Kluyveromyces lactis: one gene and its partner. The protein of the gene in region 1 interacts with the protein of each later gene in a biochemical or structural test. Links are inferred from orthologs where the notes say so. Each region holds a gene or a part of one and is shown on either strand. Other genes may lie near its edges.

Region 1 (4,285 bases):
TAACCAATTTAACAATGTCTTCGATTTGTTTTGTGGTTCATCGAAATACCCGCATTCGAATAACCATAAGTATCCATCTATGGCAATTCTTGGGAACCTTCCATTCTTCTCAACAAACTCTGCAACAAATTGCTTAAATGCAACACGGGGTACGTTGTACTGGGATATTTGGTTCCATAATTCACTTGATCCCATATGACCATTTATTTATCTGTCAGTTCGGCGGACCCTTCTTGATTTCTCAGCATTGTTCATTTAAGTCGATAGAGAATTAATTGCCTATGCATTGTATTGTACCTTAATTTTTTTTGATGAAATCATTCCTATATAATAGTTATGATAGCATTACAAAATAAGAATATATGAGAATGGCAGAAGAAATCATACAGGAGTAATGAGTTATTCAACAAAGCCTTATGGTTACATTTAAAAATTATTGTACTATCCTATGAATTGTTACATGCCAAACTTCAACCAATCCAAATCATCCATTACATTGTTTTCCTTTTTTGGTTTCGAAAGAGACGAGCCCGATGATTCGAACAATGAAGGGTTGGATTGCCTGGTTGATGGAGTCTTTCGTCTAGCCACTTGTTGCTGTTCGTATTGCAGTATACCTCTTTGTTGTTGAAGGGTATCTACATAACTGCTTCTTGGCGATGCTGCTGGTACTGAAGAGCCAAAATTTTGTTGTGTTTGGCTATGATGTGATGGTGGTGTTTGTGACAACTGTTGACCAGAAGAAGCATTTTCAACAAATGATGAGGAGCTTGAAGATGAATTAGAGGAATTCTGTAATTGCTGGGAAAGTAAAGATTTGTGTGACTTCTTTGGTTGGGAGTTTGGATTTGAAAATAGCTCAAACGGTGATCTTGATGAGTTGGGTGATGCAATGTTTTGCGGCTGTGACAGAGAATGATTGGCCCATGAATTCGGTGCTGATATTGTCGCGTTGCTCGAAGAATTTGTGGATGATGATAGATTGTTCGCATTCTGTGAAGTTGCAGTAGATGCCTGGCTGTTACTACCGTTAGTGCTTATTCCTGCAGAAGTATGATTTGAGGAGGAGTTATGCTGTTGGTGTTGTAGCTGTTGTAGTGACTGTGCCATAAATGATGATGACTGGGATATTTGAGTTCTCGAAGATTTGCGACGGGGTATTGAAACACCAAGACCAGTTGAAGGAGACGTTGGATAAAACCTGGGTGAATTCGAATATCTAGGTGAAGATGCCGCGCTATTAGGTTGAGAGACTTGCATTTGAATTTGATATTGGAATTGTTGTAATGTGTTTTCCCTTGACCCAGGTGATGGTTTTGGCAGAATTGGAACAACAGATCTTGATGAAGATGACTTGCTGGACGTTGAGGATGAAGTTGAGGAACGTCTGGATTTTGTTGCCGTCTTCTTGTTGAGATTATTCAATGAGTTTTGACTTAATGCAGATTGGTTATAAATATTAGCTGCCGGCTGAATTGAAGTGTGCTTTGCCGAAAGTTTCCTTTGAAATTTCTCAGGAGACTGTGATCCTCTATTTGTGGAATGATCATTCTGTCCTTGTAATTCCATATTTGATGCTGGTTTGTCATCTTTTTTGGTTCTCTTCTTGGTATTCCTCTTTTTTATGATATCACTCTTCAACGATAAAGGTCTCATTGTGCCGTGTAACTTTTGAAACAAACCGCAGGCGTTACAAAGTGTATTACCATCTGGATCACGCCTCCAAAGTGGAGTTTTCAAAGTTTTACAATTATAGCACTGCGTTGGCGGTTTATTTGCTTTAGCACCATTGTTCACGGGAGGTCCGTTCATGACTTGCATATTTGTCGACGAAGAACACCTTCTATACTGAGGTAGAGTGGTTGTCGGAAGGTTTTTCACAGAGGAATTTTTCTTGACAAGATTGGTAGTAGTGTGTGTAAGTAGAGGTAGAGCCCCATCTTCATTCATGTCATTTTTAATAAGAAGATTTCTGGAACTACTTCTTCGCGGAAGTTGAGGTTGTTTATGTTGGTATTCATCTGCTTTGATTGTTGACTGACTAGAGTTATTGTTTTGGAATAATCTAGGGTGTTGGTACGCCAAAGAGCTGCTGTTCGGTCCATTATCATGTTGCTGGTGTAACAAGTGATTCCAACTGTTTTGGAAATGCGAATTAGAGTTGGTATTATTATTATTATTATTGTTGCCGTTATTATTGCCATTATTGTAATTATTATTAGTTATGGACGCCGTGCTAGATGCGGGATTGAAGCCAGGTGTAGTTGTTCCTGGAGTGAATTGTTCTGAGTTGAAAGATGACGGGGCACTTATCGTTGCGGAATCACTATGATCACTCGGCGTCATCATAAATTCATGGACATTAAAATCCCAGAGTTGAGCAATTTCACCATTTTGCAAATTCAAGTCGTTCCCAATTAACTGGCCTGCAGTTGTTGATGGTGTAACACTTTGAACAATATCTATCGGCCTACTTTTCAACCCATTATGCGATGATATTTCTGCCACAGGTGTTTTCCAGCCACCTTCATCATCCTCTTCGCCAATAACATCGGGGCTACCATCATCTTTCATAGAAGCATTTGTAATGGTAGTAGTAGTAGTATTAGATTCGAATTTCAGAGTAGTAGCGACAGGAGACGAAGTGTCTTGTTGCAGTCCCCCAACATCCAAGTTCAGATTTTCAGGCAATATCTCCAACATGGCATCAAACTGTGTATGGTTCCACGACGGCTCATGGCTCACGCCAGAATCTGTACTAGCGAACAGTTCGAAGGGATCATGAAGACCCCTGTCCGACATCTTTGGAACAGATTTAATCAAGTTGATAAAAGTGGATTGTGTGATTTCTCTTCTTATATATCCACAGTTGATGAACAAAATAATAATAAGAGAATACTGAATATAATCATAAAAAGGATTCAGTACCCCTTATATGACCAAAAAAATAACAAATAATCTCTTTGATTAAGGTACACTCAAGACCCAGCTGTACCCTTTGTTGCCCTTTAGCCTTGTTAATCATTGTACTTCTTATTGCAGTGAAGCCCTTCTTTGTTCACTTATTTCTTTTCGAAAACTATATAATTTTAAAGATTTCATAGTTTCCATACCGAAAGAAAAAAAAAATTTAGCAGAATCGACTCATACCATATGAGTCTGACTGTCTTAATTCAAACAACTAGCTATGAGACTGCTTTTCTCACGAAGCAAATGTATCGAATTATTAATAAAAGATAGACTGTGTTTTTACGCTCTAGGATAGTCATCTTCATATCTAAACATTCGTATATGCTGTATATCCTAGAATTGGGGACGACACATTAAATATGTCTGATAGTCATACAACCGTATCACCAGGCACCGAATTATTCCTATCAAAGGAACAACGTATTCTACAAATAACTTTACGTCGATCTCTTCCTATTCTAGGCTCTACCTCGGCTGTACTTTGTCCAACTAGAACCAGTAATTTCGTGTGACACTTATCCCATCCCACTATGACCAGATATTTTGCTTTTCTGGCCAGACTTTTCGGCATACGTCTTTTTTCTCTCATCATTAGAACCAAAAGAACGATATCAAAAGGTGTGCCAGACCCACCACCTCACTCTTCCATTAGTTAATGTTTACACTAACAAATTCTTGTAACATTAACGAGATGCAAGGTATAAATATGCTGCCTGCATCCCGTGTACCGTTTGCTTTCGACCATTGTATCCGTAACGTCGGGAACCGTTTCTTGAGTCACTTCGTACGATGTACATTCTTTACAGATTTATCCCAAGAGGCACGAAATCGATTTTTTTGAAGATGAAAAAAAAGCTTTGAATTTCACTTTGTATATATAAATAAATGCCAATACGCATATATACATATAAGGAATACGGTTAGTTAACGCGTGAACAACATAAATATTGCGTGTCTGGTACTTCAACTGGGAAACCTGTTTTTTAATTTGAACTTGGGATAGGATTCATTAGATTGTATTGTTGCCTTAGCCACTTAATCCTCTTTTACCGTGGTCAATTGTCAATTATATTTTGTTTGATTTAAAGCATCATTCTTTAATTTGGTTTTCCGTTTCTGAATTTTGGACGTTGTTGAAAACAAAGAAGACCGTTAAGATAACGCTTGAAGAACTTTCTGATACACCAAATCACTGTAATTGATATTCCATACTGTTGAGACTTTTACATCCGTGATAATTCAAATACTATTGAAAATAACAAATGTCTCAATTAAAGGTTGATAATGGGCCTTTGTCCCACGTTGCAAACAGTGG
Region 2 (2,987 bases), on another chromosome or scaffold:
CGCACTTGGGCTAGACAACATATCTGATGTGGATGAATTCAAGTCAGCATCAGAAACCTATTCAGATAATGAAACTAGTGGAAGCATACATCTATCCTCCCCTGATGAATTTGAAGAAATCGAGGAAAGCGACACATTTTCATTTTCTGATATAGATGCGGAATTGAAAAAAATTGACGAAGATCTTGACGCATTGAACTCAACTGAGTCGAATATAAACAATTTTATGTTAGAAACTTCTGAAGATGATAAACAGATTTCAGATGTTGAATATATCATTGACGATGAAGTAGATGAAAATATATCACAAAAGGTAGAAACAAATAATGCTACTCAAGTTTCCAAGAATGAAAATCAAAATAAAGACACAGAGCCCAAGGATGATTTAGCAATGCTTCTAGAATCCTTGAAGAAAGACAACGCAGATACTTCATGGGAACCTAAAAAGAAGAACAATGGTAAAAAAAATAAAAGCAGAAAAAAGCAGACGAACTCAACAACACAAATAGATTCAAACACCACTTCCGGGAACAATGCCGAGAATAAAATTTCGGCAGACATTGATAGTTTCATATGCTCAACATGTGGTGTTAAGTTTGATACTCGAAACAAAATGTTCAAGCACTTAGATTCCACAAACCATGCAGCCCCACTGTCGACTAATAAGAAAGGATCCAAGAAGCGGAATATCAGGAACAACAGTAAGTAAAAAAGAATGTCAATATCACAACCTTATCCATATTTTCTATGTAGATAGCAATTACATAAACTGGTCCTCGCTTGCCATGCGTTAGACGTATGCTCAGAGCGTCCATCCACTGGAGTTAGCAGTACTTCGCTCTAGCTGAGACTTTCTTACCCGGATACGTACGTAACGACAACGCCTTTCCTTGGTGACTTATCTAAGAAAAGTTTTCCTTTTTTTTTCTCGTCGGAAGTTCTCGTTACAATACCGATGCACACGCAGACAGACCCACCGAAGAATTGGAAATGAAAATGACCAGAATGGTGAAAAGCTAAAAAAACAATAGAAGAAAAAATAATGGAGCTGAATGTTAAATTTGGCTGACATAGATAAACTTCGGAACGCTTTCATTCGTTCATATGGGAAGTATCTGACCGATTACAAATCTAGTGTGGTTGATAACGGTACAAAATCAGCTGTAGCGAATTATTTCATATTTAGTATAGCGTTTCAGAGCTAGCAGAGAGTTTACTTTTGAACAGAGAGTTTCGTCTTCCTTTTTGGCATCGCAAGAGTATTCATAAGAAAGAGGATACAATTTTGAAAGCGAAATGCAACAAGATATGCAAAATGGTGGACCAGGGAACACCATCTCCAATCTATCTTCGGCGCTTCGTCAAGTGAATCTGGGCAACAGTAACACCACCACTGATCAGAGTAATATTTCCATTGATTTCAATCAGCAACAGTTATTGGAAGAAGCGAACCAAGGTTCCATTAACGCTTATAACGCTCAGCAGCAACAGCAAGAACATCTACAACAACAAGCACAGCAACAACAGTTACATATGCAACAACTGCAGCAAGCGCAACAGCAACAGGCACAGCAACAAGCACATCAGCAACAACAGCAAGTACATCAGGTTCAACACCAACATGTACAGCAAGACCACATGCCAATAGGACAGTCACAACAGCAAGCGATGTATCAGGGTCCAAATCCGATTGACAGCTCTAGAATTACTAAGTTTTTTCAGAATCAACCTATGGAAGGTTACACTCTATTCTCGCATAGATCGGCACCGAATGGGTTCAAAGTGGCAATTGTATTAAGCGAATTAAATATGCATTACAACACAATCTTTTTAGATTTCAACCTTGGAGAGCATAGGGCACCTGAATTTGTTGCCATAAATCCGAATGCTCGAGTCCCTGCCCTCATTGATCATAACATGGAAAACTTATCGATTTGGGAATCAGGTGCAATAATTCTCCACGTTGTAAATAAGCACTACAAGGAAACAGGCAATCCATTGCTTTGGTCTGACAGTCTTGCAGATCAAGCTCAAATAAATGCGTGGTTGTTCTTTCAAACATCAGGTCACGCTCCTATGATTGGACAGGCATTGCATTTCAGATACTTCCATTCCCAAAAGGTAAAGAGTGCTGTTGATCGGTATACCGACGAGGTTAGAAGAGTATATGGTGTGGTGGAAATGGCATTGGCCGAAAGAAGAGAAGCCTTGATCATGGATCTAGATTCAGAGAATGCGGCTGCCTACAGCGCAGGTACTACTCCTTTATCTCAAAGTAGATTCTTTGATTATCCTGTATGGCTTGTTGGTGACAAAATCACTGTGGCAGATTTATCATTTGTACCATGGAATAATGTTGTGGATAGAATCGGAATTAACATCAAAGTCGAATTCCCAGAAGTCTACAAATGGACTAAACACATGATGAGAAGACCGGCAGTTATTAAAGCATTACGCGGAGAGTAGATTATATAGCCTCATATAGATTCATGAATACAATGATAACCTCGCTTGAAAATGTAACAATCTCTGTCATTTATATTCATACACAATACCCGTAGTCTTGAGAGCATCAAGGTAGTATTAGACACATTTACAATTAGTTGAGGAATGTTGTGGAGTACTGTGCCCCTGCATGCCTTTCAGGTAAATGTTTCCGTGAACATCCTTCATACCTTTTTTTTTTTTTTCATTTTTAGATATATAAAAATAAAAAGTTGACTTTGGCTAGGGAATCACTCGCTTGCTCTACGTTTCGAAGCAGAACTGTCGATGGAAGAGGTTACGGAGACATGAATTATCAGCGTAGTGTTTAGCCATAAACCGCAGAAAACAAATTCCAATATATTTAAATAATCCACATGGTTTCAGTATGAGTGGACGTTTGCTTACATTAGAGGAAATATGTGTCATCACATTACTTCGACATCACACTTTAATTGAAGACATCAGTTATATTCCCTATAGGCTAATTAAAAGTGTCTTAT

The links. The genes of interacting proteins can lie anywhere in the genome.
Region 2: the proteins of GLN3 (region 1) and URE2 form a complex in vitro, tested with the Saccharomyces cerevisiae proteins (2 studies listed by BioGRID). The link is inferred for Kluyveromyces lactis from reciprocal best matches to the Saccharomyces cerevisiae genes GLN3 and URE2.

The regions. Positions count from the first base shown.
Region 1 is NC_006037.1:119,929-124,213, forward strand, and holds GLN3 (nitrogen-responsive transcriptional regulator GLN3), read right to left. Parts: upstream 2,803-4,285; coding exon 457-2,802; downstream 1-456. Other genes in the region: YEN1 (crossover junction endodeoxyribonuclease), read right to left, coding at 1-195; VRG4 (GDP-mannose transporter), read left to right, coding at 4,233-4,285. UniProt on the Saccharomyces cerevisiae protein: Positive nitrogen regulatory protein. Required for the activation of transcription of a number of genes (including the allantoin pathway genes) in response to the replacement of glutamine by glutamate as source of nitrogen.
Region 2 is NC_006040.1:1,654,250-1,657,236, forward strand, and holds URE2 (glutathione peroxidase), read left to right. Parts: upstream 1-1,296; coding exon 1,297-2,466; downstream 2,467-2,987. Other genes in the region: JJJ1 (Jjj1p), read left to right, coding at 1-709; ELA1 (elongin A), read left to right, coding at 2,873-2,987. UniProt on the Saccharomyces cerevisiae protein: Plays an important role in nitrogen catabolite repression. Down-regulates the expression of many genes involved in nitrogen utilization by inhibiting the GATA transcriptional activators GLN3 and GAT1.